Anolis sagrei: one gene and its partner. Each later gene encodes a partner of the first gene's protein in a complex. Links are inferred from orthologs where the notes say so. Each region holds a gene or a part of one and is shown on either strand. Other genes may lie near its edges. The genes, in order: WRAP53 and GAR1.

The links.
Region 2: WRAP53 (region 1) and GAR1 share a complex: the UniProt entries of both Homo sapiens proteins name them as parts of the telomerase holoenzyme complex. The link is inferred for Anolis sagrei from reciprocal best matches to the Homo sapiens genes WRAP53 and GAR1.

The regions. Positions count from the first base shown.
Region 1 is NC_090026.1:5,546,356-5,561,805, forward strand, and holds the start of WRAP53 (telomerase Cajal body protein 1), read left to right. Parts: upstream 1-7,909; 5' UTR 7,910-7,957; intron 7,958-7,970; exon of another isoform or gene 7,971-7,994; intron 7,995-8,006; exon of another isoform or gene 8,007-8,080; intron 8,081-12,792; 5' UTR 12,793-12,958; coding exon 12,959-13,230; intron 13,231-13,719; coding exon 13,720-13,818; intron 13,819-15,064; coding exon 15,065-15,173; intron 15,174-15,450. Other genes in the region: thialysine N-epsilon-acetyltransferase-like, read right to left, coding at 1,937-2,038, 4,696-4,779, 5,511-5,562, 5,851-5,916. UniProt on the Homo sapiens protein: RNA chaperone that plays a key role in telomere maintenance and RNA localization to Cajal bodies. Specifically recognizes and binds the Cajal body box (CAB box) present in both small Cajal body RNAs (scaRNAs) and telomerase RNA template component (TERC).
Region 2 is NC_090025.1:31,122,196-31,137,224, forward strand, and holds the start of GAR1 (H/ACA ribonucleoprotein complex subunit 1), read left to right. Parts: upstream 1-8,591; 5' UTR 8,592-8,646; exon of another isoform or gene 8,647-8,700; intron 8,701-12,269; 5' UTR 12,270-12,278; coding exon 12,279-12,483; intron 12,484-12,566; coding exon 12,567-12,721; intron 12,722-14,046; coding exon 14,047-14,106; intron 14,107-15,029. Other genes in the region: CFI (complement factor I), read right to left, coding at 210-320, 815-984, 1,438-1,588, 2,189-2,444, 2,599-2,661. UniProt on the Homo sapiens protein: Required for ribosome biogenesis and telomere maintenance. Part of the H/ACA small nucleolar ribonucleoprotein (H/ACA snoRNP) complex, which catalyzes pseudouridylation of rRNA.

The DNA of each region.
Region 1 (15,450 bases):
ACGAACACAGAGAGTGCTCACTAATGCTTCCTTTTCATCTTGGAAAGAAGTGACAAGTGGAGTGCTGCAGGGTTCTGTCCTGGGCCCGGTCCTGTTCAACATCTTTATTAATGACTTAGATGAAGGGCTAGAAGGCAGGATCATCAAGTTTGCAGACGACACCAAATTGGGAGGGATAGCCAATAGTCCAGAGGACAGGAGCAGGATTCAAAACGATCTTGACAGATTAGAGAGATGGACCAAAACTAACAAAATGAAGTTCAACAGTGACAAATGCAAGATACTCCACTTCGGCAGGAAAAACAAAATGCAAAGATACAGAATGGGGGACAATGTCTGGCTCGAGAGCAGTACGTGTGAAAAAGATCTTGGAGTCCTCGTGGACAACAAGTTAAACATGAGCCAACAAGGTGATGTGGCGGCAAAAAAAGCCAATGGGATTTTGGCCTGCATCAAGAGGAGCCTAGTGTCTAGATCTAAGGAAGTAATGCTCCCCATGCTCTATTCTGCTTTGGTTAGACCACACCTGGAATATTGTGTCCAATTCTGGGCACCACAATTCAAGAGAGATATTGACAAGCTGGAATGTGTCCAGAGGAGGGCGACTAAAATGATCAAGGGTCTGGAGAACAAGCCCTATGAGGAGCGGCTTAGGGAACTGGGCATATAAGAAGAGAAGGCTGAGAGGAGATATGATATCCATGTATAAATATGTGAGAGGAAGCCACAGGGAGGAGGGAGCAAGCTTGTTTTCTGCTTCCTTGGAGACTAGGACGCGGAACAATGGCTTCAAACTACAAGAGAGGAGATTCCATCTGAACATGAGGAAGAACTTCCTGACTGTGAGAGCCGTTCAGCAGTGGAACTCTCTGCCCCGGAGTGTGGTGGAGGCTCCTTCTTTGGAAGCTTTTAAGCAGAGGCTGGATGGCCATTTGTCAGGGGTGCTTTGAATACAATATTCCTGCTTCTTGGCAGAATGGGGTTGGACTGGATGGCCCATGAGGTCTCTTCCAACTCTTTGATTCTATGATTCTATGATTCTATGACTGTCTACAGACGTCACATGCAACTCCATCAGCGCTGCCTCTGGAAAATCCTGCAAATCTCTTGGGAAGACAAGCGGACAAACGTCAGCGTGCTGGAAGAAGAAAAGACCACCAGCGTTGAAGCGATGGTCCTCCGCCAACAACTCTGCTGGACTGGCCACGTTGTCCGGATGCCTGACCACCGTCTCCCAAAGTAGTTGCTCTACTCCGAACTCAAGAATGGAAAACGGAATGTTGGTGGACAGGAAAAGAGATTGAAAGATGGCCTCAAAGCCAACCTTCAAAACTCTGGCATAGACACTGAGAACTGGGAAGCCCTGGCCCTTAAGCGCTCCAGCTGGAGGTCAGCTGTGACCAGTAGTGCTGCAGAATTCGAGGAGGCACGAGTGGAGGGCGAAAGAGAGAAACGTGCCAGGAGGAAGGCATGTCAAGCCAACCCTGACTGGGTCCGCCTTCCACCTGGAAACCAATGCCTTCACTGTGGGAGAAGATGCGGGTCAAGAATAGGACTCCACAGCCACCTACGAACCCACAAAAATAGTCATCAAGGAAGACCATCTTACTCATCCAACGCGGGATCGCCTAAGGAAGTAAGTAATTAAGTAAGTACATTTTTGCACTTTGGTGATAGCATTTGCCAGTCTGAAAACACCCCTTTTTTTGAGACTATAGTTCCCAGAATCCCCCAGCTTGGGGATCATGGGAGCTGTAGTCCCCAAAGGCTAATGAATTAACCTGCCTCCAGCCTATCTTTCTGCTCCCAAATTCCTCAATCTTCCCCTTTTACTGACTTAATTTCCATTGATTATTCTCTCCCCAACCCTAGGAGTCTATTGGGAAGCGAGAAATGCACTCTGCACATGCTTCAGGATCCCTCGCTTCTTGCATACCTCTGTACTCTGGCATGACGTAGAGGTCTTCTCCAAAGAGAACAGGGCCGTCCCAGGTGCAGTAGGACAAGTAGTGGAACTGGTACCCAATAATCGTGTGGCCTGCAAAGAAAGAAAGACGAGGTTGCAAACCAAAGTCTCCATCGACAGGTCGCAGGTTCGAATCCGGGGAGAGGCGGATGAGCTCCCTCTATCAGCTCCAGCTCCTCATGCGGGGACATGAGAGAAGCCTCCCACAATGATGATAAAACATCAAATCATCCGGGCGTACCCTGGGCAACGTCCTTGCAGTCGGCCAATTCTCTCACAACAGGAGCAACTTGCAGTTTCTCAGGTCGCTCCTGACACGACCAAAATAAATAAAAATGTAATGTTCGTTTGTGGGATTAACAGAACTCAAAAACCACTGGACGAATTGACACCAAATTTGGACACAAGACACCTGACAACCCAATGTGTGTCCTTCACTCAAAAAAAAATTGATTTTGTCATTTGGGAATTGTAGTTGCTGGGATTTATAGTTCACCGACAATCAAAGAGCATTCTGAACCCCACCAACGATGGAATTGAACCAAACTTGGCACACAGTTCTCCCATGACCAACTGAAAATACTGAAAGGGTTTGGTGGGCAGTGTCCTTTGGTTTTGGAGTTGTAGTTCACCTACATCCAGAGAGCACTCTGGACTTAAACAATGATCTGGACCAAACTCTACACGAATACTCAATATGCCCAAATGTGAACACTGGTGGAGTTTGGGGAAAATAGAATCATAGAATCATAGAATCAAAGAGTTGGAAGAGACCTCATGGGCCATCCAGTCCAACCCCCTGCCAAGAAGCAGGAATATTGCATTCAAATCACCCCTGACAAATGGCCATCCAGCCTCTGTTTAAAAGCTTCCAAAGAAGGAGCCTCCACCACACTCCGGGGCAGAGAGTTCCACTGCTGAACGGCTCTCACAGTCAGGAAGTTCTTCCTAATGTTCAGAAGGAATCTCCTCTCTTGTAGTTTGAAGCCATTGTTCCGCGTCCTAGTCTCCAAGGAAGCAGAAAACAAGCTTGCTCCCTCCTCCCTGTGGCTTCCTCTCACATATTTATACATGGCTATCATATCTCCTCTCAGCCTTCTCTTCTTCAGGCTAAACATGCCCAGTTCCCTAAGCCGCTCCTCATAGGGCTTGTTCTCCAGACCCTTGATCATTTTAGTCGCCCTCCTCTGGACACATTCCAGCTTGTCAACATCTCTCTTGAATTGTGGCGCCCAGAATTGGACACAATATTCCAGGTGTGGTCTAACCAAAGCAGAATAGAGGGGTAGCATTACTTCCTTAGATCTAGACACTATGCTCCTATTGATGCAGGCCAAAATCCCATTGGCTTTTTTTGCCGCCACGTCACATTGTTGGCTCATGTTTAACTTGTTGTCCACGAGGACTCCAAGATCTTTTTCACACGTACTGCTCTCGAGCCAGGCCTCCCCCATCCTGTATCTTTGCATTTCATTTTTCCTGCCAAAGTGGAGTATCTTGCATTTGTCGCTGTTGAACTTCATTTTGTTAGTTTTGGCCCATCTCTCTAATCTGTCAAGATCGTTTTGAATCCTGCCCCTGTCCTCTGGAGTCTTGGCTCTCCCTCCCAATTTGGTGTCGTCTGCAAACTTGATGATCATGCCTTCTAGCCCTTCATCTAAGTCATGAAGAAAGATCCTGAACAGGACCGGGCCCAGGACGGAACCCTGCGGCACTCCACTTGTCACTTCTTTCCAAGATGAATCTTGACATTTGGGAGTTGTAGTTGCTGGGATTTATAGTTCACCTACAATCAAAGAGGATTCTGAAAACCACCAACGATAGAATTGGGCCAAACCTCCCACACAGAATCCCTTTGACCACCAGAGTGGGCCACAGCAACACATGGCAGGGGATGGCTAGTAGAATCATGGAATCCTAGAGTAGGAAGAGACCTCATGGGCCATCCAGTCCAACCCCATTCTGCCAAGAAGCAGGAATATTGCATTCAAATCACCCCTGACAGATGGCCATCCAGCCTCTGTTTAAAAGCTTCCAAAGAAGAAGCCTCTACCAAACTCTGAGGCAGAGAGTTCCCCTGCTGAACAGCTCTCACAGTCAGGAAGTTCTTCCTAAAGTTCAGGTGGAATCTCCTTTCTTGTAGTTTGAAGCCAAAGAAGGAGGCTCCACCACACTCTGGGGCAGAGAGTTCCACTGATGAACAGCTCCCACAGTCAGGAAGTTCTTCCTAATCTTCAAGTGGAATCTCCTTTCTTGTAGTTTGAAACCAAAGAAGGAGGCTGCACCACACTCTGGGGCAGAGAGTTCCACTGGTGAACAGCTCCCACAGTCAGGAAGTCCTTCCTAATGTTTAGGGTCTCCTTTCTTGTAGTTTGAAGCCATTGTTCCGCATCCTAGTCTCCAGGGAGGCAGAAAACAAGCTCCCTCCTTTCTATGACTTCATCTCACATATTCATAGCTATCATGTCTCCTCTCCTACCGGATGTTAGGAATTATGGGAGTTGAAGTCCAAAACACCTGGAGGGCCCAAGTTTGCCCATGCCTAGTATAAGGTATATTATGAGAGCCAGTAAGGATTTAAGTGACTGATTTGGATTGCAAAACCAGGTTTTGAATGTCTGCTTGGCTATGGAAACTCACTGAGAAACTTTGGGACAAGTCACACTCTCTCAGCCTCAGAGTTATCCCAAATATAGTAATCCAGAATGGTTTTCCCGCCCTGATCGTACCTCCTTTGGTCTTTTCTCCCGGGGGCAGCTCAGCAACCAGGCACCCGAAAGTGGGCTCTTTCCCAAAGCCATCTTCTTGGAAATCTACCAATAAATAAGGCAATGTTAAGCACTATATATAAAACATATGCATTTACATAGCTTCGTACGGTTCTGGAATTGACAAAATATGAATGGCCTTTCTTGAAAGCCACACGGCATCAAAATATATGCGTTCAACATCAAAATACACAATTTTCTACAATTCCCAGGATCCCATAGTTTTGAGCATTTGTGGGGTGAAGCTGCATTAATTCTATAGTGTAGATGCACTCGTTGTATGCTAGGGAATCTGGCTTTGAGCTTCGTTTCTTGCAAGTTGGTTAGAAGCCATAGCAAAACTCCAAATAACTAGAAAAAATGTATTGTCGAAGGCTTTCATGGCCGGAAAGGAGGTAACCATGAAAATGAACAAAATTTGGCTACTCTAAAATTGCAACAGCACAACAACAGAGAGGAAACAAACAAGGACATCTAATTACCTCTCAACAAAAGTTTGCTCCAGGCACAGTCAGCCCATTGTATGCTGATCAAGATGGTCAGTTGAAACATTCACACTTAGCTCCAGCAGACAAGAGTCCTTTGTCCCACCCTGGTCATTCCACAGATATATAAACCCTTTTTCCTAGTTCCAACAGACCTCACTACCTCTGAGGATGTTTGCCATAGATACAGGCGAAATGTCAGGAGAGAGTACCTCTAGACCATGGCCATACAGCCCGAAAAAACCTACAACAACCCAACTAGAAAAAAAATAAATATAAGCCATTCCTTACTTTTTGTGGTGGTCGTCACTTGGTCCAAAGCTTTGTGGAAAGCCGCAGATTCCTGGAAAGAGAGTAAGTTGTAATGGAAATGGAAATGAGAAAGGGGTCTCTGGAGGTCATCTAGTTTGACCCTCTCCAAATGCGTAAAGCCCAGAACCCCAGAGAATTCCTCAATTGATCCCTGTTGAGAATTGGAAGGTGGGGGAGGAGAGAGAGAGATACACCTGGAGTACAAAACCCATCATCCAGTATGACACACCAAGGGGAGTATGGGTTTTGTAGTTGAGGCACATGTCCAAATTGTCATTCTGATGCCAAAACAGAGCTTTAAACCCCTGAAATTTCTCACCCGAATAAGCCGCATGACCTCCTTAAGATCCCTTACGGCCCAGGGACGGATGATGCAGTTCATCATGGCTCTGATCTTGTCTCCTTCCAATTTGGACTCTGATCTGGTTAAAGAAAGCTGACTCCAGTTAAAAACTAAGCGTTCCCCTTCAATGGGCACCCCCTCCTTGCACCTATTAATTTTGGTCAGTTATTAATTTTGGGGATACGCTTGGAAACCCAACAAGGAAGATGGATCCATAGCAAGGTTCAAAGGGTGCTGTTGTACTTAGTTTTGGCCCCAGAAGCTGGCATATAAATGAGTTACAGGGTTGGTTAGTGATGTAAATGGACTTTCCTTGGCTTGTTATAACTCTCAATGGCTCTTGGAAAATCTGTTAAGCTGGAACCCATCTGTATTGCCATGTAATGCAGTGTGAAACTGCATTGTATGGTCAGTACAGACTCATATTATGCCATTCAATGCAGATTCATAATGCCATTCAATGCAGGTCCCCATCTACACTCCACTATATAATGCAATTTCATAATATGGTTAACTGCATTACATGGCAGATATATATACTAGCCATCCCCTGCCACGCATTGCTGTGTTCCAGTCTGTATATATGTGTTTTGTGTGTGTGTATATATTTGAGGAGCCTTCTAATCAAGGTGAAAGAAGAAAGCGCAAAAGCTGGGTTGCAGCTGAACATCCAAAATCCAAGATTATGGCAACAAGAATGATTGACAACTGGAAAATTGTGGGAGAAAATGTGGAGGCCGTGACAGGGTTTGTATTTCTAGGCGCAAAGATGACTGCAGATGCAGACTGTGGCCAGGAAATCAGAAGACGCTTCCTTCTTGGGAGGAGAGCAAGGTCCAGTCTCAATAAAATAGTAAAGAGTAGAGACATCAGACTGGCAACCAAGATCCATTGCCTAGTCCAAGCCATGGTCTTCCCTGTAGTCACCTACGGATGTGAGAGCTGGACCTTAGGGAAGGCGGAGCGAAGGAAGATCGATGCTTTTGAGCTGTGGTGTTGGAGGAAAGTGCTGAGAGTGCCTTGGACTGCGAGAAGATCCAACCAGTCCATCCTCCAGGAAATAAAGCCTGACTGCTCATTGGAGGGAAGGAGACTAGAGACAAAGTTGAAGTCCTTTGGCCACATCATGAGGAGACAGCAAAGCCTAGAGAAGGGAATGATGATGGGGAAAGTGGAAGGCAAAAGGAAGAGGGGCCGACCAAGGGCAAGATGGATGGATGGCATCCTTGAAGTGACTGGACTGACCTTGAAGGAGCTGGGGGTGGTGACGGCCGACAGGGAGCTCTGGCGTGGGCTGGTCCATGAGGTCAGGAAGAGTCGGAGACGACTGAACAAATGAACAACATATATTTGTGCATATAGAAGATGTGTATATAGATAGATAGAAGAGATAGATATAGATAGAAAGGTAAAGGTTTTCCCCTGACATTGTGTCTGACTCTGAGGTGTGGTGCTCATCTCCATTTCTAAGCTGAGCCGGCGTTGTCTGTAGATAACTCCAAGGTCACGTGGCTGGCATGACTGCATGGAACACAGTTACCTTCCCGCCGGAGAAGTACCTATTGATCTACTCGCATTGCATGTTTTTGAACTGCTAGTTTGGCAGAAGCTGGGGCTGACAGCAGGAGCTTACCCCACTCCCTGGAATCCACTCCCTGGATTCCCTTTCGGTCAGCAGCTCAGTGCTTTAACCCACTGCAGAGATAATAGATATGGCAGCATGGATGGAGCCCTAGTGTTTAGAGCTCAGGGCTAATCTACACTGCAGATTTAATGCACTTTGATCCCACTTTAGCTGCCATGGTGCAATGCTATTTAGTCCTGAGCACTGTCATTTGGTTCTCTTTAGTGTAGAACCTAAAATTCCATAGCATTGAGCCATAGTAGTTGAAGTAGTGCCAAACTGCATTACTCCCAGATGCATCCACGTGGGTGTGTTTTCTAGTTCCTGTTGCCCTTTAAGGAGTGAGGTCTCGCGAGAGCTCTACGCCCTTTCGCCTGGCTCCCGCGAGATCTGGGTGAGCCAGCCGGGAGGAAAAGTGGGCGGAGCCAGGGGTGTCATGGCGGCCTCCACAGTCCCCACGTGAGTTTGTGTTTTGATCTTGCTAAGCAGAGAGATTGTAAGTTTTGGGGACACTTTTCCCTCTTCTCTGCATTCTCTGGAGCAGATAAAAGGAACTGCTCCAGGGAATCCGCATGTAGAAAGGTATTAATTACAGTATCTGCATTATTGTTTGGCATTATTAACTGATATCGTTGATATTCTAATTGGGGCCCTCATTGCTATTGCGTAGAACTTAGAGAGGGATCCATCTTAGTTTGCTTTCTTGTAAAAGAGAAAAATGAGGAGTCTTGTGTTGTAATAAGAAATTCAGTGTGCAAATTTGATAAATGTGAATTTAAAATGATGTGTGGGAATGAATGGAAGGATGTATGGATAGAGCTAATAATTTTGGAAACACCAGTATAATATTAAGGCCTGCAATGACTAACTACCTGCTTGCTGGACTTGCTAATGAGAAACCCTGATAAGAACTGGGACAGTGATAAAGGAAATGTTTGCAACATGCCTTATGTTAAGAAGGAAGTCTTGTGTAAGATCAACACTAAGCCTTGTGTTTGTTAACACCAATCAAGAAGATCAACACTGAGATGGATCCAGGATGGAAGACGTCTATCATTAATTTACAACTTTGGGACTACATCAACAGAATTTTCCTATAAAAGACTCAGGCTAATAATGCTCAAATCGTGACAGACCGAGGAGTCTGATCCACCCGCCATGCTCTGCTCCATGGGAAGGACAGAGGTGGTGTATTCAGAGAGTGCCAGATATGCTATGGGAAAGCATGATTCTGGACATTTTGGGGCTTCTTTCTCAAGGGAAGAGGAAGAAGTGCCCTTTTGGAGTCTTAGATTTTATGCAGGGAGTCAAGTTCTGCTGTATGGAAAACAGAGGTCTGGTCCTTGGCACTGTTCTTAGGGAAAGAAGTTTTGGCATCTCAGCGTTTGAAGTTATGGAACTATGCGTTGGTTTGTTGTTGTTCATTCGTTCAGTCGTCTCCGACTCTTCGTGACCTCATGGACCAGCCCACGCCAGAGCTCCCTGTCGGCCGTCACCACCCCCAGCTCCTGCAAGGTCAGTCCGGTCACTTCAAGGATGCCATCCATCCATCTTGCCCTTGGTCGGCCCCTCTTCCTTTTGCCTTCCACTTTCCCCAGCATAATTGTCTTCTCTAGGCTTTGCTGTCTCCTCATGATGTGGCCAAAGTACTTCAACTTTGTCTCGAGTCTCCTTCCCTCCAATGTGCAGTTGGGCTTTATTTCCTGGAGGATGGACTGGTTGGATCTTCTCGCAGTCCAAGGCACTCTCAGAACTTTCCTCCAACACCACAACTCAAAAGCATCTATCTTCCTTCGCTCAGCCTTCCCTAAGGTAGGCTGCAGGAAAGCAGGGTCTGGCCTAAGAGGTGCTTCTCCAAGGAGGGAGAAAATGATATGGTAATATTTGGATGCATGTGGATGAATGCATGTACATGTGTGTGAATGCTGAGTGAAAATGTAATTCTCCTATGTTTGTTTGTTAACCAATGTAATTGTGAATCCAATGTAGTTGCATAGAATCTGTATGTCTGTATGTCCAATGTAATTCTTTGTCTAAATGTTTTCTATAATCTGATATATCTTCTCACACTGGAAATTGCAATAAAAAGAACCTATGCTTCAAAGTTATTGAAAAGTCATTCATGACAGTGTCGCTCTTAAGTCTAACCAATGTGTATATATCTTATGGTTTTAATGTGTTTTCATCTTATGCTTGTATTTTAATATATGCATTAAAATGATGTTATGTTTTCACTATTGTACCCCATCTGTGGCCTAGAGAGTCATAGAAAAATATTTATTATTTTATTATTTATTTACTACATTTTTACCCCCCTCTTCAAAAACCCCTGTGGGGGGACAGGGACTCAGAGCGTCTTATACTGGCAACAATTCGATGCCCCAAATATAACAAATAACAGCAATTCAATTCAAGGTGCAGGTGCTCACCTACAAAGCCCTAAATGGTTTGGGACCCGACTACCTGCATGACCGCATCTCCATATATGAACCCACATGATCCCTTCGATCATCTGGAGAGTCCCTGCTCACAATCCCACCTGCGTCGCAAGCGCGTTTGGTGGGGACGAGGGACAGGGCCTTCTCTGGTGGCCCCCCGACTCTGGAACTCTCTCCCCAAGGACATCAGACAAGCCCCAAAGTTGGCAGTCTTTAGGAAGAGCCTGAAGATTTGGCTGTTCCAGTGTGCCTTTCCAGAATAGGAAACTCCTGGCATCATGTCCCAAATGCACTTTGTTAGAGATTTAGGATTGTCTGCACATTGCACCTACCTCCAAAACCTCTACATTTCACCTGTCATATCCAGCACTTTTAAATTTTGTTCATTACATTGGCCCGGCCTTAGGTTTTAAATGCATCATGGTGTCATTGTTTTTAGTGTTTATTTTTGCTTGATGTTTATTGTTTGCTTTATGAGTTTTACTGCTGTATTGTTATGTTGTTGTTTTGTTGGCGGCCTTGGCCTTTGTAAGCCACATTGAGTCCTTCAGGAGATGTTAGCGGGGTATAAATAAAGTTAATAATAATAATAATAATGATAATATAAAACAATGAATAGAACAGTAGATTAAAAATCGTTAAGCGTTATTATCACATGCTACTCTGCTGCTGAGTATGCATGCCCGGTGTGGAACACATCTCACCACGCTAAAACAGTAGATGTGGCTCTTAATGAGACATTATTATGAGGGAATCCTTTCTAATATTTAGGCACAACTTGTTCTCTTGTAACTTGAATCCACTAATTTGTGTCCTAGACCCTGGAGCAGCATAAAACAACCTTGCCCTTATTTACATGACATCCTTTCTGGTATTTAACGATGGACCTGGGAAGGAATCCTGGGAGTTACCCTGGACAGTTATCTGACCTACAAGAAGCACTGCTTGAATATCAAGCAAAAAGTGGGTGATATCATACGAAAGCTGAATGGCATAACCTGGGAATCACAGCCAGATACAGTGAAGATATCTGCCCTTGCGCTGTGCTACTCTGCTGCTGAGTATGCATGCCCAGTGTGGAACACATCTCACCACGCTAAAACAGTGGATGTGGCTCTTAATGAGACATGCCACATTATCCCGGGGTGTCTGCGCCCTACACCACGGGAGAAATTACACTCTCTAGCAGGTATTGCACCACCTGACATCTGCCGGGAAGAAGCAACCAATAGTGAAAGGACAAGGCAGTGACATCTCCAGCTCATCCCCTGTTTGGGTATCAGCCAGCACGTCAACAACTTAAATCCAGAAATAGTTTTCTAAGATCTACAGAGACACTCGCTGGAACACCTCAGCAAGCGAGAGTCCAAAAGTGGCAGGCTCAAACCCAGAACCTCAACCAATGGCTGATACCAAATGAGAGACTCCCCCCTGGGCACACAGAAGACTGGGCGACTTGGAAGGCGCTGAACAGACTGCGCTCTGGCACCACGAGATGCAGAGCCAACCTTAAGAAATGGGGCTACAAAGTGGAATCCACGACTTGTGAGTGCGGAGAAGAGCAAACCACTGACCACCTGCTGCAATGCAACCTGAGCCCTGCCACATGCACAATGGAGGACCTTCTTGAAGCAACACCAGAGGAACTCCAAGTGGCCAGATACTGGTCAAAGGACATTTAATCAACTACCAAGCTTGGAAACTTTGTGTTTTGTTTGAGCCTGCCACTTTTGGACTCTCGCTTGCTCAGGTGTTCCAGCGAGTGTCACTGTAGATCTTAGAAAACTATGTCTGGATTTAAGTCGTTGACGTGCTGGCTGATACCCAAACAGGGGATGAGCTGGAGATGTCTCTGCCTTGGTCCTTTCAGTAATGGCTGCAACTTCCCGGCGGATGTCAGGTGGTGCCATACCGGCTAAGCAGTGTAATTTCTCCAGTGGTGTAGGACGCAGACACCCCGTGATAATGCGGCATGTCTCATTAAGAGCCACATCCACTGTTTTAGTGAGATGTGTTCCACACTGGGCATGCATACTCAGCAGCAGAGTAGCATAGCGCAAGGGCAGATGTCTTCACTGTGTCTGGTTGTGATCCCCAGGTTGTGCCAGTCAGCTTTCGTATGATATTGTTTCTAGCACCCACTTTTTGCTTGATGTTCAGGCGGTGCTTCTTGTAGCTAAGAGCACGGTCCAGAGGGACTCCCAGGTATTTGGGTGCGCTGCAATGCTCCAGTGGGATTCCTTCCCAGGTAATCCTCAGAGCCCGGGATGCTTGTCTGTTCTTGAGATGAAAAGCACATGTCTGTGTTTTACATGGGTTAGGTATCAGCTGGTTTTCCCTGTAATAGGCAGTAAGGGCACCTAGAGCTTCGGAGAGCTTCTGTTCTACCATCCCAAAGCTCCCTGCTTGAGCGGTGGTGGCACAATCGTCAGCATAGATGAACCTCTCTGTCCCTTCTGGCAGTGGCTGTTCATTTGTGTCGATGTTGAACATGGATGGAGCAAGCACGCTCCCCTGAGGCAGGCCGTTCTTCTGTTTCCTTCATCTGCTTCTCTGGCTCTGGAACTCAACAAAAAAGCTCCTGTTTTGTAGTAGGTTTCCTATGAAGCAGGTGAGATGGTAGTCCTTCGTGATTATTATACATTTTTCTCAGGAGGAGGCGGTGGTTCACAGTATCATAAGCTGCTGACAGGTCTATGAAGACAGCTCCTGTGATCTAATGCCTTTCAAAGCCATACTGCAAATAAATAAATAAATAAATAAATAAAAGGTGGGGTGGTCTTGCTACTGAATTTTGTGATGATACCCAGAGGGATTGGATTTGAGCTTCTCTTGCTTCTTTTGTTTGATCCGCAGGGACATCACTCCATCCTGGCACTCTCCATTTCTATGCAGGGATGCATGAAGCACCTGATGCTGTCTCCTCTTCAAGCTCTGGTGGGAAACCTGTCTTGGACTTGGACAATAAATATCCCAGTCCTGCCTCTTAGAGTTTGGGTTTGGATCCTGGAAGTCTTGTGCGATGGAGACTCAACCGTCTTCTGACAATCCGGATGTAGTCAATACGGACCCGCCATCAGGTGTGGAACCAGATGGAGATGTGGGACCATTTCCAACCGTGCCAATGCAGATTGGAGATCCAGGAAATGAAGAGGGTTCGGCTGAGATGTTTTCTGGAACTGACCTCTCAGGAGGAGAGCCCCAGTTGGAAGATGTTAAGCAGCCTTCAGAGCAAGGACCAGAGGAAGAGAAGAAGGAAGAACATGAACCTTCGACAGAAAGAGGCGAATATTAGTGAGTTATGGATGTTCTCTTGTAGTCTGCTCGATGGAAACAGCTCAAATTAGAGTACATCTACACCAGGCATGGGCAAACTTGGGCCCTCCAGGTGTTTTGGACTTCAGCTCCCACAATTCCTGGCCTCAGGCCCCTTCCTTTTCCCCCTCAGCCGCTTAAGCGGCTGAGGGGGAAAAGGAAGGGTCCTGAGGCCAGGAATTGTGGGAGTTGAAGTCCAAAACACCTGAAGGACCAAAGTTTGCTCATGCCTGGTTTACACTGTAAGTTCAATACACTTTAACATTACTTGAACTGCTTTGGAATGCTGAGATTTGTCATTTGGTGGTGCACCAGCCAAAGAAGGGTAAAGGCCTTGCAAAACTATAACTCCCATGACTGCATCGCTGTTAGGAATGGTGGGAATTGAAGTCATGAAGAGTCAAAGTTTGCTTATGCCTGATTTAGGTAAACACTTTGCACGTGATTTGCTTTTTGCTTCTCTCCTAGCCTTCCAGCATATGACTTCTCCCAGCCTCCCAGACTTCTGACGGGCTCTTGGGCCGAGTACGGCCGCATGCCGGAAAACTTCTTGAAGGGATGCAAATGGTGAGTAGGTGGCCTGGATAGAGGGTTCTAATTGTACCTTGTTCCCTGTTCTTGCTATTTATTTTATTTATTGTGTCAGGAGCAACCAGACATTTGTATTACATTTTTAACAAAACAAACAAACAGATAAAACACAAAGTTTGCAAGCTTGGTAGTTGATTAAATGTCCTTTGACCAGTATCTGGCCACTTGGAGTGCCTCTGGTGTTGCTGCAAGGTGGTCCTCCATGGTGCATTTGGCAGGGCTCAGGGTGCATTGCAGCAGGTGATCAGTGGTTTGCTCTTCTCCACACTCGCATGTTGTGGATTCCACTTTGTGGCCCCATTTCTTAAGGTTGGCTCTGCATCTCGTGATGCCAGAGCGCAGTCTGTTCAGCGCCTTCCAAGTTGCCCAGTTTTCTGTGTGCCCAGGGGGGAGTCTCTCATTGGGTATCAGCCATTGATTGAGGTTCTGGGCTTGAGCCTGCCACTTTTGGACTCTCGCTTGCTGAAGTGTTCCAGCAAGTGTCTCTGTAGATCTTAGAAAACTATGTTCTTACTATGGAAGGGTCCATGAAGGGTGATGAATCTGATGGACCAGACACTGAATCTCATTGGTGGTGTTGCTAATGCCATGTGTGATAAATTCCCTACCTTTTAGGCCAGCGTAAAGCTCAGGAAATAGGCCCAGTTGTTTTGGCAGCCATTTTATGAAATGCCTGGGAGCAGCCATTTTAGGATTTTCTAGGGGAGGTGGAGCTTAGAAGCAGCCTGGAGGGAAATGAGTACCCTGTTGAAATCACAGGTCCGCAGTCTGGGTGTCCTCCTGGACTCATCGCTTACGCTTGAAGGTCATGCGTCGGCGGTGGCCTTTGCACAATTAAGACTCATGCGCCAGCTGCGACCATATCTCGTGAAGGCGGATCTGGCCAGGGTGGTCCATGCCTTAGTCACCTCTAGATTGGACTACTGTAATTCACTCTATGTGGGGCTGCCCTTGAAAACAGCTCGGAAATTTCAGTTGGTCCAACGGGTGGTGGCTAGGTTGTTAACTGGTGCTCCTTTCAGGGAGCGGTCAACCCTCCTGTTTAAGGAGCTCCACTGGCTGCCATTCATTTTCCGGTCCCAATTCAAGGTGCAGGTTCTTACCTACAAAGCCCTAAACAGTTTGGGACCCGCCTACCTGCGTGACCGCATTTCTGTGTATGAACCCACACGATCTCTTCGTTCATCTGGAGAGTTCCATTACACCATGCATCTCTTTTTAGGGCCCCTGATGGGACTTGTTTGCTCACCAACAGTGCGGACAACACGCTGCGGATTTACAACCTTCCGGCGGAGCTGTATTCTGAGGAATGGGGGACTGTCGCTGAAATGGTACAAAGTTGAGGATGCAGGCCTTGTGTACAGTGGGCACAAAGGGGAAAATAACAATAGCAACAACAGGAATAATAATAATTTATTTCCTGCCTCTCATTGCAGCTTGAGGCTGGGTGCAACATGCTTAACACACAGAGAGAAAACAGAATCCTGTCATCAAAGGCTTTCATGGCCAGAATCACTGGGTTGCTGTGAGCTTTATGGGCTGTCTGGCCATGTTCTAGAAGCATTATCTCCTGACGTTTCGCCTGCATCTGTGGCAGGCATCCTCAGA
Region 2 (15,029 bases), on another chromosome or scaffold:
GTGTAGTAACAGTGAGGCTGCAGACCATATTTTAGTTCTTGGGGAGCACTGGTGGTCCACAAACTACAGATTGGGAAGCACTAGTCTAGATAGACCAATTTTTTATGTATTTGTCTGACACAACTTTGAAGTATCTTTGAAGCACTTCCTTCACTGGCCAACAAATTATAAACTATGAAAAGATATATATGAAGAGACACATAGTATACCTTTGCAACATACTTCATCACTTAAGTCACCGCAATCATTGATTCCATCACACGTTTTATCTAAAGGGATGCATTTGCTATTGACGCAACGAAATTCACTGCGGGAACATTCTGTAAAATGGAATGAGAAAGAGTTTTTCAGTAAAATATTTTCTATAAGGAAATGAATGTCTAATTTTGCTTTCAGATTAGATTTCATTTTGCAAATGCCGTGTCACAAAATGTTATGGCGGGTTCAGGGTTCAGATATTAAAATTGTCAATTTTTCTCTAACAATTTTCCCACCCTTAATATTATATTCTGATTTACGGTATCAAATCGAGGAACTGAGGAGAAAAGGAAGATTTTATTGAGGGGGTGTCTAAGATTTACCAAAGCAGTAAATGTAAGGGTTGCAATCTTAACTTCCAAAACAGCCCAGAGGGAACTGACAATATTTAGAAACTATAGAATATTACATGTCTTATTGTAGTAACTCAGAAAAAAACTATATACTCTAAAACATGGCATGGCTAGAACGAGTATTGCATGTAACATGTTGTTGCAAGTCCCATTATAACAACAAATTTGTCTGACTGTACATCCCCTCAACTTGGTATACTAACCTTTATGCCGTGTGTGGCACACCACCTTTGCCAACTTCACATCACTTTGATTCAACCGACTTACAGCACACTCAGCCAAACTGGTCTCTATCCCTCTGCAAGTTGCCTTAAGGCATTCCAGTGGCTTTGAGGCATTATCTGGATCAATATGTTCTATGCGATCAGCCCCTCTATGCAAGGAAATATAAAACACACACATTAAGTATTATCACTGTTTGAAGGACAATATATACCAGCTATTTCTGGCTTTAACTTCCTCAGTGGTCAAAGAGGAAAGAGTCTTTGCAAGAGTCTTTGAAACATCTCTGCCTTCTAGCTGTTAGGAATTATGAGAGTTGCAGTCCAAAACACTTGGAGGGCCAAAGTTTGTCTATACCTGAGTTAGAGTGCATGTATATGATTTCGCAAGTGCCAGGTAACCCAGACTTGTTAAATGAAGGCTCACCATGATGGGAACTATTATAAAAATCTGGGGGGCACAGGGTTAGGAAAGATTGCTTTTATCTATAGCCAAGCCAACACAGAAGATTCTGGTACTTTGCTAATTAGTGGTGCTATCTTTTAAAGATCACAGTAATCAGCTTCAAGATCCCTCCATTCCACTTTGTGCAAGAATTTCTTACTCTGGAAAATTAAGCTCCTTGCAGGCTACGTTGGCCTCTTGTATACCCCATCCTTCTCCACATATAAATGCCTTCTCAGAGTCTTTCAATTCGACTTGAACAATTCCTTCTGAAGATGTATTTTTAGGTTCCAAAAGAACTCTAAAAGTCTCTATAAAAAAGAAAATATATTACAATTTATACTCATTCAATATATGAAAATTGATCAAAATCCACAAGTAGCCTACTAAGGTAATTGTACTCAAGAAAAGAACTAGAAAATATAGAATTGGAATTGGAAGAGACCACAAGGGCCATCCAGTTTAACCTCCTGAAATGCAGGAACACACAACCAAAGCACTCCCAACAGAATAATTGCTGAACTAAATGTAATTTACATATATTGCTAAATTAACATGTCATAAGAATCCATTTGTAAGTAAAAGTAAAAAGTCCCAATGAGATATTGTGCCTATTACAAATAATGCATGTGCCCCTTACTCTGCTATTCAAATCAAGACCTCATTGGGTTGTTGTAGGTTTTTTCGGGCTGTATGGTCATGTTCTAGAGGCCACATTCCTCTGCCCCCAATGCTAGTTCTTTGCAAACAATTGTGTAAATTTGACCTATATAAAAATATTAAATGTTGTTTCACACATTTAGTGAAACATTGAAGATTCCAATCTGCTTTCATTCTCCATCCTAAAAGCTTGTCCCTCTCCATACCAATGATTGATATAAAACCCCAAAAGAGAAACAGAATCTTTTTACCTTGAAGGTTGCAGCTTCCTCTGTGCATAAACTTGCCCTTTTTACGTTGGCATTCATAGCTTTTCAGCTGACAGTAAGTTCGGAAAGTTGCCTTGTCGGTCGTACAAACTGATGTCCCATTTTTGGGGCATTGGTAGGGCAGCTTACAGAGACAGGTCCCTTTTACACACCTCTGCCATGGATGGCAGAAAACCTTCGCACAGGAATTCTGAGTATAGCTCTTGTTCACACATTCTTCTACCAGGTCTGTCTCTTGCTAGAAGAAAGAAACACTTTTATGTAACATTTATGTGTATTGCAGATCCATGACAGATACGTTCAAAGATATAAATCAAAATAATAAACAAAGTACTGAAAATAAAAGGTTTCTTGCCACTAAACTAGAGATTTCATTTAAAACAAAATCTTACCTTTTGTCCAAAAGCACAAAGTAAAAAGGATAAAATGAACACCAGAGGGGTCAATGGTTTCATGGTGAAGAGCTATCTTTATATCAGAGAAAGTCTTTTCTCTAGAATTCTTCCCAGTTTCAGGTTTGTGTTTAATGATCAACCACTAACAAATATTTGGGAAAAGACAGTTTTGAAATCAAGTGTGGGAAATTCCGCTTGCATTCATGACTCCAAACTCTTTTGGAAGATCTTCCTGTTTGTTTCTTTCTAGCTCCAAAAAATGAGAAGAGAAGCAAGAAAATAAAGGTCTGGAAGATCTCAGTAGGCGTTTACTGATCTGTGTTTATCTCTCATGTACCAGTCTCTACACTTTCATATTATTAGGGAGTTACTTCCTGATATCTACTTCTATGGGACAGCTGCAAAGCACAAAGGAAGCATGATTTGCATATTTCTCTGAGTGCAGGATGGATATTTCAAACTGTGCTTGGCTGGTTGCTCAATTCTTTAGTAAACGGACTGAAAAGAAGCATTGTGTGTTGTTCAATAATAGGAGTGCCAATTTCCGGGGTCAACAGGTCAACACAGGAAAGCATAACATATGGTACCTGCTCAACAAATAATGGGACTTTCCTAGCACACTTTTAATTCAGAATAGCAGCAGGGAAAATGGTAATACGATTTCATTTTTTGAACGACAGTTCAGAAAGGGTTTGGACAAGAGGTCCCATATGGCTTTCTGTACTGCATACATGAAAATTCTTCTGTGTTCTTTTGGGGAACAGTGCAGGGCAGGTGAAATCTGATGTGGAGGAAGAAATGCAAAGCTGCTATCTCTCAGGAAGGGGAAAGTTTGTTTTTTCCTCCCCTTCAGTATTTCAGAAAGGGAAAGCCAAACAAATGAGTTCCCATGGAAGAATAAGGTCCTGTCTGGTCTTGGAAGCTAAGCAGGTGGAATCCTGGTTATTATTTGGATGGGAGACCACCAAATGTGTTGCATGCTTGCAGGTGTGAAGGCAGACTAAATAGTCCTAGATAATCTACTTACCCAGACACCAATGGAGCTGAAATACAACCATATGTTTCAATATCTTGCTCATGAATTACACATTGGAGATTGAGCAGAAATAATCCCATATAGCGAGAGTGAACGAGGGATATATTTTATACCACTTTCTTTACAGCCCAGTGGTTTTATAGAAAGAGAGGAAAATCCAAGACAATCTTAGTAGGCTTCACCTCCCTAGGGATCTTATTTTAAAATGTTGGAAGCTGCTTTGGGTCCGAATTGTGAGAGAAAAGCGGCATATAGGTAAATAATAATAATAATAATAATAATAATAATAATAATTTGAAACACAACAAGATGAGTCCACAGCAGACACTCTGCTGGCTGTTGAATTGGATCACATGTCGGACACTTCCCAAGTGTCTAGGACTGTGTGATGTATCGGCAAATAATGCGTGCAGATCCCAGTAAGGTGGCCTTCTGCAGCTGGCAGATGATAATTTTGTCAGCGCCAATTGTGTTTAAGTGCAGGCCAAGGTCTTTAGGCACTGCACCCAGTGTGCCGAACACCACTGGACCACCTTTACTGGTTTGTGCAAGAGTCTTTGCAGTTCAATTTTTAAATCCTCATATCGTGTCAGCTTTTCCAGTTGTTTTTCTGCAATCCTGCTGTTACCTGGGATTGCGACATCAATGATCCATACTTTGCTTTTTAACACGATTGTGAGGTCAGGAGTATTATGCTCCAAAACTCTGTCTGTCTGAATCCGGAAGTCCCAGAGGAGTTTGGTGTGTTCATTTTCTGTAACTTTTTTCGGCTTGTGATCCCACCAGTTCTTTGTCGCAGGCAGATGGTATTTGTGGCACAAGTTTCAATGAATCATCTGAGCAATGGTGTTGTGCCTCTGCTTGTAGCCTGTCTGTGCGATCTTCTTGCAGCAGCTCAGGATGTGATCTATTGTTTCATCTGCTTCCTTGCAGAGTCTATATTTGGGATCTGTTGTCGACTTTTCAATTCTGGCTTTGATGGCATTGGTTCTAATGGCTTGTTCTTGGGCTGCCAGAATCAGGCTCTCTGTCTCCTTTTTCAGAGTTCCATTTGTGAGCCACAGCCATGTTTTTTCTTTGTCAATTTGGCTCTCAATTTTTCCCAGGAACTGTCCATGGAGAGCCTTCTTTTGCCAGTTTTCTCTTCTGCTCTGGATTGTGTTTTTACGGTATTCCCTCTTTGTCTTTTGCACTTTAAGCAGTTTACTACTATTGACTTCCCTCAACGTTGGTTCTTGACTGCCTTTCACATAATCTGCCAGGGCGTGTTTCTACCATTTGTTTCACTTGCAGAAGCCCTCTGCCTCCTGATTTTCTGGACAAGTAAAGTCTGTCAATGTCACTATGCGGGTGTAATGCGTAGTGGATTGTCATCAGTTTTCTTGTTTTTCTGTCCAGATCATTCAACTCTGCTTCTGTCCAGTTCACAATCCCACCAGTGTATCTAATGATGGGGATGGCCCAGGTGTTGAGAGCCTTGATCGTATTTCCGCCATTTAATTTGCTCTTCAAAACCTTTCTGACTCTTTGGATATATTCTTTGCTGACCAAATTTTTCACTTGACCATGCTTGATATTGTCCAGTTGTAGTATGCCCAGATATTTATAGGCTTCAGGCTTGTTGTACTTTATGGTTTGTCCGTTTGGCATCTCTATGCCCTCGCTTTGTGTAATTTTCCCTTTCTTTAATGCCACTGTGGCACATTCATCTAGGCCAAATTCCATACTGATGTCAGTGCTGAAGATTCTGACTGTTGGTCAGTGACTCGATTTCAGTTTCTGATTTTCCATAAAGCTTTAGATCATCCATGTACAACAAGTGAGAGATTTTTGGTGAATTTCTTGCTGTTTGGTAGCCTAGGTTGTTTTTATTTATTTATTTATTTATTATAAATTTTTATTGAATTTTATATAGTTACAGCGAAAGTGGGGGAATAATATAAGATAGAAAAGTAGCAAAAAAGTAGGTTATTTTTATTTATTTATTTGTTGTTGTTATTATTATTATTATGGCAGCGCTTGTGGGATGTTAAAATTGAATGGTATCAATTACAAATATAGATGCTGGGTCAAGATTAGATCTTGAATCACTTGTTTTGGCATTTGCCTGAGAAACGTGCAGCACTAAAACAGGAGGCAGGATGTGAGTGTTTACATTAGGCTTGCTCTTAATGTCCCCAAACATCTGCATGGAAGACAGATCTTTGAGCATTAGGCACGAGGGGCCGAAGAGGGCTCTGTGACCAATTTTAGCTGAACACACCCACAAAGCCCCCACTTTCCAATTCCTACCACCCTATACATTGGAAAGTAAACAAAATTTGGCTACCAGTATTTAAAAAACTTTAAAATCAGGACAGTAAATAAAGAACAACACTCAAAAAAAGGGGGATTCCAGACAAGAAACAATCAGGGTCAGCTAATCACCTCCCAACAAAGGATTCCCCAGGCAGGAAGCAACCAAGCTTTGAAGCTGCAATGCTATTCAATGCAAATCAAGGTGATCAATTACAACATTTGCACTTGCCTCAAACAGACAAGAGTTCTTTCTCCAGCACTGGACAATCCACAGATACAGAAAACCCACTTGCCTAATTTCCAACAAACCTCTGAGAATGCCTGCCGTAGATGAGGGTGAAACGTCAGAAGACAATGCTCCTGGAACATGGCCATACAGCCTGGAAAAACTCACAGCAACCCAGAAAATCAGACAAGTTTATGTGGAATGACTCTGAAAACCAGGGTTTGAATCCTCACTTAGCTGTAGGAACCGACTGTGATTGAGGGCAAAGGTAAATCTCCTGTGAACCAACTTTGCCAAGAAAACCCTATTTTAGAGTCATTGCAGGTTGGAAACTGTCATAACTCACCTTCTGGAGTCAGATGATTGAGAACAGAGGAGCCAGATGTCCAGGCATGTGCATCTCCTGATGATAGGAGAAAGCAGGGAGCTTTGCACGAAATGGAGGATGTTGAAGATATGCCACCATCCTTTTCTTAACAAAAATGAGGTAGAGATTGTGATGATCCTGGCAGCTGTGACATAGCTGATTAATTAGGCACCTGGTGTTTTGGAGGTATTTGACCATAGAATCTACCAGCAGCCCTCCCCCATTTTTGTTCTTCACAGCTATCTTATCTATGTGATTGATAATACTCTCCTGGCATTTGTGTTTTCTTAACCTTAAACTGGCTATATTTTTGACAACTCTGTTTACTGCTTGTTGGCCCAGGAGATGCCTTGATGTTTTGATGTGTTACCATCCTTGTAGGAGGCTTGTCTCATGTCCTCATGTGAGAAGCTGCAGCTAACAGATGGGAGCTCACCCCGCTCCCTGGATGCGAACTTTTGGTCAGCATTCCTGCCGGCACAAGAGTTTAACCCATTGAGCCACCGGGAGGCATCATGACCATCAACCATGTGTTTGACTAGTCTTACATTATTGAGTGACACAGATTTGGAAGCCCTCCAGATGTTTTGGATTTCAACATATCCTTGGAAGCATCCATGCGGATCCCATTTCAAACTACGTCTCTACGTCTGTCTCGGCATGGGCAAACTTTGGCCTTCCTCCAGGTGTTTTGGACTTCAACTCCCACAATTCCTAACCGCCTAAAGTTTGCCCATGCTTGATCTAGACCAGTGGTTCTCAACCTTCCTATTGCCGAAACCCCTTAATGCTGGGGTCACCTCATGTTGTGGTGACCCCAACCGTAAAACTATTGCTACTTCATAACTGTCATTTTGCTACTGTCAGGAATCATAATGTAAATATCTGATATGCAGGATGTATTCTCATTCACTGGACCAAATTGGGCACAAATACTCAATATGCCCAAATTTGAATACTGGGGGGGGGGGGGGGGGGTTGATTTTGTCATTTGTGAGCTGTAGTTGCTGGGATTTATAGTTCACCTATAAACAAAGAGCATTCTGAACTCCACCAACAATGGAATTGAACCACACTTGGCACACAGAATTACCATGACCAACAGAAAATATTGGAAAGGTTTGATGGGCATTGACCTTGAGTTTTGGAGTTGTAGTTCACCTACATCCAGAGAGAACTGTGGACTCACACAACGACGGATCTGGACCAAACTTGGCATGAATATTCAATATGCCCAAATGGGAACACTGGTGGAGTTTGGAGAAAAATAGACCTTGTCATTTGGGAGTTGTAGTTGCTAGGATTTATAGTTCACCTACAATTCAAGAGCATTCTAAACCTCACCAATGACAGAATTCTCACCCAGAATCCCCATGACCAACTGAAAATACTGTGTTTCCTGATGGTTTTTGGCAACCCCTTTAACACCCTCTCGTGACCTGGCAGGGGTCCCGACCCCCAGGTTGAGAAACACTGATCCAGACATTATAGTGCTATATAATTTTTTTTCTGAAATCCAAAAAAGGCAGCAATTTTAACCTTATTTCTACCTAAGCTTTATTTGCTTTTACTTGCATTACACAGTAATAATTAATCTAATCAATGGCATTGACTAAAATGGCATTGGCTTTTTATGCTGCTGCATCACACTCTTGGCTCGTCTTGTTGGATAATCTGAAACATGCCTGGACTGAATTAAATACTTTGCAACTCTTGCATTCTAACGTTCTGATGCTAAATGAAGCAATATTTGTAGTTATTAATGCTTTTGAGGACTTGCCTTTAAAAAGTGGGCTTACTGTTTAGTGTCAGCAACTCATTTCTGATTTGTTGCAACCCTAGCTGGGTTTTTGTTTTGTTTGTTTTTAAGGCAACATTGACTTAAAAACTTCTCAGTCTGCCAAACTTTGGGAATATAATCCTGGCTGAAAGTGGAACGAGAGCCGGAAGTGACAGTCGCTCTCAAAAGACCTTACCTCTTTGATCATTCTAGCCAATAGATTCGCAAAGGGAGAGAGGACTCGCCGACAAGCGGAAGGAGCGTGTCGAGAACCCAGCTTGGGATTGGCCGGGCAGCGGGAAAGCGACGCTGTTCGTTGACGTCATCAGAAGCGGCCGGTGCGTGTGTGTTGGGGACCACGTGGGAAGCCAAAGGGGATCTTTGTGCTCAAGGTACCAGAAAAGGGTATTTTTTTGGGGGGGGGGGTGGGGGGGTGGTGTCATATATTCATTGATTTCTACGGAATTTTGCCATTCCTTACTTTAAACTATTTAGCTGGATCCAGTCTAGAGGTGCGTCCACATTGTTGAATTAATGTGGTTTGACACCACTTCAACTTCCATGGCCCAATGCTGTGGAATGCTGGAGTTTGCAGTTTAGGCCTCTTCCACACAGATGTGCAAAATCCCAGATTATCTGCTTTGAACTGGAATATATGGCAGTGTGGACTCAGATAACCCAGGGCCCTTCCACACAGCCCTATATCCCAGAATATTGGGGCAGAAAATCATAGAATCAAAGAGTTGGAAGAGACCTCATGGGCCATCCAGTCCAACCCCATTCTGCCAACAAGCAGGAACGTTGCATTCAAATCACCCCTGACAGATGGCCATCCAGCCTCTGCTTAAAAGCTTCCAAAGAAGGAGCCTCCACCACACTCCGGGGCAGAGAGTTCCACTGCTGAACGGCTCTCACAGTCAGGAAGTTCTTCCTCATGTTCAGATGGAATCTCCTCGCTTGTAGTTTAAATCCCATATTATCTGAGTGTGGATTCGGATAACCCAGTTCAAAGCAGATATTGTGGGGGTTTTCTGCCTTGCTATTCTGGGATATAGGGCTGTGTGGAAGGGCCCCCAGTCAAAGCAGATATTGTGGGATTTTCTGCCATTATATTCTTTATTATAGGACTGTGTGGGAGGGCTGCTCTCTTTGACAGAGAAGGCTATTGCTGTTGTTCATTCGTTTCTGGCTCTTCGTGACCTCATGAACCAGTCCATGCCAGAGCTCCCTGTCGGCCGTCACCACCCCCAGCTCCTTCAAAGTCAATCCAGTCACTTCAAGGATCCCATCCATCCAACTTGTCCTTGGTCAGCCCTCTTCCTTTTTCCTTCCTTTTCCCCCAGCATAATTGTCTTCGCTAAGCTTTCCTTTCTTCTCATGATGTGGCCAAAGTACTTCATCATGGCCTCTAAGGCTAAGGACCTTGTAAAACTACAACTCCCATGATTCCACAGCATTGAGCCACGGGAATTAAAGGGCCCTTCCACACAGTCATATAACCCAGAATATCGTGGCTGAAAATCCCACACTATCTGCTTTGAACTGGGTTATTTGAGTCCACACTGACATATATTCCAGTTCAAAGAAGAAAATGTGGGATTTTACTCAGCTGTGTAGAAAGGGCCAAAGTGGTGCCAAACAGAATTAATACCACTCTGTAGACCAGGAGTTCTCAAACTTTTTAAACAGAGGGCCAGATTATAATTTGGAAAAAAGATGAATGAATTCCTATGCACACTGCACATATCTTATTTGTAGTGCAAAAAACACAAGCAATAAATACAATAATTAAAATGATGAACAATTTTAACGAAATATAAACTTATTAGTATTTCAATGGGAAGGTGTTTTTTTTTTTTGTTGTGTCAGGAGCGACTTGAGAAACTGCAAGTCGCTTCTGGTGTGAGAGAATTGGCCGTCTGCAAGGACGTTGCCCAGGGGATGCTCGAATGATTTGATGCTTTTATCATCCTTGTGGGAGGCTTCTCTCATGTCCCCGCATGAGGAGCTGGAGCTGGTAGGGGGAACTCATCTGCCTCTCCCTGGGTTCGAACCTGCGACCTGTCAGTCTTTAGTCCTGCCGGCACAGGGGTTTAACCCACAGCATCACCGGGGGCTCCTTCAATGGGAAGTGTGGGCCTGCTTTTCACTGATGAGATTGGGTTGTTGTTGTTGTTGTGTGTTTTCAAGTTGTTTAAGACTTAGGTTGACCCTGAGAGAGGGCCGGGTAAAGGACCTTGAAGAGCTGTATCTGCCCCCCGAGCCTTAGTTTGAGGACCCCTGGTATAGACACACATTTCAACCCAAGAGATCAGGGTTTGAGTCCCAGCTCAGCCCTGGAAACCCATTGGGAGGACTTGGGCAAGACATGCTCTCTAAGGCTGGATCTACACTACCATATGATGCAGTTTGAAATGGTCAGTGTACTGTAAACACATATAATGTATTTTAACTGCATTGAGCTGCATCTACACCAGGTCTGGGCCAACCTTGGCCCTCTAGGTGTTTTGGATTCCAAATCCCACAGTTCCTAACAGCTAATAGGCTGTTAGGAATTGTATGAGTTGAAGTCCAAAACACCTGGATGGCCAAAGTTTGTTTATGCCTGGTGTACTCTATTTGTCTACCCCTACATGACTGAAGGCACACAACAAAAACAACATTTGTCTGTGTTTATATATACATACACATATATGGAGTTTATTTCCAAAAGGTACCAAATCCACCTGAACACATGCTGAGGATGTTCATTCTTTTGCTATAAAATGCAATTTCTCGAACCCTGCACTGAGGTGATTTTGTTGTTTTGATATGTACACAATATTCCAAGCATAGCCAACAATGGGTTCAGTACCTTTTGGAAACAATGTCCACATATATATGCAAACACAGGTCATCCCAAAGAGTATACCCCCTTTAACAACTAATAATAGCCATGGTGATGATGTGAAGGCTAAGTAAATACATTCATCTCAAAGAATGAATGTTGTTACAATGATTTAATCAGAATAAAAATTCCCACTTGGCCATAGAAACCCATAGAGGAAGGCAAAGGCAAAATCTCTCTAAACAAATATTGCCCATTGTGATAGATGGATAGATAGATCAGGCTTGCCGCAATTCAGAAACGAAGTGAAAGCACTCCTCTTTCTAACGTTTTGGTATTTCAATACAACAAATTCCATTGTACACCCAATCTTGATACCTAGCAAAAGCTGGATCCGCACTGCCATATCTACATATCTATGTTTTAATTTAATTCCAAGCTGCTGGGAATACTGGAGTGCTACCTATTTGTTTTTGTTACAAAGCAATATGATGAATTTCTCCTGACGTTTCGCCTGCATCTATGGCAGGCTTCCTCAGAGGTCTGACCTCTGAGGAAGCCTGCCATAGATGCAGGCGAAACGTCAGGAGAAATGCCTCTAGAACATGGCCATATAGCCCGAAAAAACCCACAAGAACTGAGTGATTCCGGCCATGAAAGCCTTCGACAATACAATATGATGAAGTTTACACTAGTAGATTTTGCATACGTTAAGAATTGTTATTATTACATTTTTGTCACAAAGTGGATCACAACATTAAAAAACAGCACTATTATTTTTGCAGTGTTTACATTTTTGCTGTTTCTCATAGTAAAACAATGGTTCTCAACCTGTGGGTCCCCAGGTGTTTTGGCCTACAACTCCCAGAAAACACAGCCAATTTGCCAACTGTTAGGATTTCTGGGAATTGAAGGCCAAAACATCTATGGACCCACAGGCTGAGAACCACTGCTCTAAAATATAATTTCAGTGAGCACTGAGCTTCTGGAAAGGCTTACAAAGTGCTGTCTGCTGGATTGTTTTATAGACTGTTCTGTGTTACCCATAACACCAGCTAATGTGATTGGCACAGTGAATATTATAGTTCTTTGCTAGAAATGTGTTGCTTTTGTTGCTATTTTTCTGTTGAACAGAAGGGAGGGATGTCATTTCGAGGAAGAGGAGGGGGCAACCGTGGCGGTGGATTCAACCGAGGCGGAGGCGGCTTCAATAGAGGTGGATTCAATCGTGGTGGTGGAAGAGGTGGCTTTGGAAGTGGAGGAGGACGAGGAGGCTTTGGACGTGGAGGAGGACGAGGAGGCTTCAACAGGGGTGGATATGATCAGGGACCCCCTGAAAGTGTAGTCAGTAAGTGGTATGCACTTCTAATGGAATTGGAAGAAAATATTGTGGCAAATATTGTGACTGACTTCTTACTGTTTCTTTTGCAGTTCTGGGAGAATTTATGCACCCTTGTGAAGACGATATTGTTTGCAAATGTGTCACTCAAGAAAACAAAGTGCCTTATTTCAATGCACCAGTCTATTTAGAAAATAAAGAGCAGATTGGGAAAGTGGATGAAATATTCGGGCAGCTCAGAGACTTTGTATCCTTTGAGTTATTAAACACTTATATCCCATCCTATGTCACGCAATGGGTTAAACTGCTGAGCTGCTGAACTTATTGACCAAAAGATCGGTGGCTCGAATCTGGGGAACAGGGTGAGCTCCTGCTGTTAGCCCCAGCTTCTGCCAACCTAGGAGTTTGAAAACAAACAAATGTGAGTACATCAATAGGTACTGCTCCAGCAGGAAAGTAACAGTGCTCCATGTAGTCATGCTGACCTTAGAGGTGCCTACGGCCAACGCCAGATTTTCAGAAATTGAGATGACCCCTGACCCCCCCCCCCCCCCCCCCCCCCCAGTCAGACACAACTAGACTTAATGTCAAGGGGAAATCTTTACCTTTGCTATATCACAGGATCTCAGAATAACATATAGTGTAAGTAGTTTAAAACATTTCTGGAATAAATGTGAGTCATTTACACAAAATAAAAACATATTAAAGTAACAGTTAAAGCCACTATAGAACTGTAGTTTAAATCTATTTGCATGTATACTTGAAATATCTTCCTAAATATTCATATATAAATCAACTTGCCATATAATCCAGTTCAAAGCCAAATTGTCTATGATAGTGTAGAGGGGGCCTCAGAAATGGGATTTCTCAAGTGTAACAAAATCCTTGACACTGAAATGTTCTTCTCATGGTGATTATTTAGTCTCCATTGCATTTTAAGATTTATCGTTAATATCTTCTCATTATTTTCTGTATTGATTTTTTTAAAATGGGAGTGATAGTACACAATGATAGAGATCATTCCTAAAAACAAACAGGAAGAAGGGTATTGTATTCCTCAAGTTCTCAGAATTTCCATAGTTTATTTTCTAATTTAATTATTTAAAAGGCAGAAATTAGTTTTATTCAGATTTAGACCCCCTTCTACACTGCCATATAATATCTAGGTTATCTGATATGGACTGATTATATGTTATACACTCATATATTGTTTGTTTGTTTATTATATTTATATATTGCCTTTCTCAGCCCGAAGGTGACTCAAGGTGGTTTACAATCAGCATAATCGAATGCCCCCAACAACATAAAATATAGTTAAAACATTAACATATAGTATAAATCATATAAAAGCAATAAAAACAATAAAACACACAGTTCAAAGCAGATAATGTGGATCTGGAGTGTATGGCAGTGTCGAAGGGGCCTTAGAGTAAACACACTGAAGTCAATGGACTATAGCCAGTTACGATTAATAAGTGTGACTTGGGCTTTGTGTAAGAGTTAACCATTAATATGCTTATGGAGGAGATATAAAATGCTTTTTCAAGTGATTTCCTTAAGCAAATCTAATAGTATTTTTCAGTCAAACTGTCAGACAATATGAAAGCGTCTTCCTTCAAAAAACTACAAAAGGTAAGGTGAAGTTTATCTTCAATAAATGTAAACCTTTGACTAACTTACTAGATTTGTTAAATAATATTTAGTCATTAATAACTGAATTACAAATAATAACATGTTGATCAATTGATTTGTAGTCCACAAAACTCTGGGTACAGCAATAGAAAGAGAATGGTATGAGAATGATAGAATCCTAGAGTGGCAAGAAACCACAGGGCCATTCACTCCAACCCCCTGCAATGCGGAAGACAAAATCAAAGCACCCCTGACAGATGCCCATCCAGCATCTGCTTAAAAATCTCCAGAGAAGGAAACTTCACCACACTCTGGGGCAGCATATTCCACTGCTGAATAGCTCTTACTGCCAGGAGATTCTTCCCAATGTTTAAGTGGAATCTCTTTTCCAGCAATTTAAATCAATGGTTCTATTTCCTAGTTCTCAGAGCAGCAGAAAACAAGCCTTTCCCCCTCCTCAGTGTGACATCCTTTCAAAAATTTAAACATGGCTATCACTTTCCCTCATAGGTTTTTTTTAATCCCTCCAAACTACCCAGCTCCCTAAGCCATTTCTCACTGGGTTTAGTTTCAAACCTTTGATCATTTTGGTCACCCTTCCCTGGATATATTCAGGTTGTCAGTATCCTTCTTGAACTGGTCACAGTATTCAAGGTAAGGTCTGATTAAAGCAGAATAGAATGGGTCTATTATTTACCACATTTGTACCCTGCCCCTCTCATTCCGAAGGGGACTCAGAGTGGCCTTACAAAGGCAACAATTCAATGCCACATAGATACATATCAATAAAATAAACAAATGCATTAAAATACAAACAGTTAAAAACATCAAATATTATGACTTTTTAGGCTGAGGGAGGTCTGTGACTTCCCTCAGTTTCAATATTATACTCCTATTAATGCAGCCTTGAAGGCTTTTTAGCT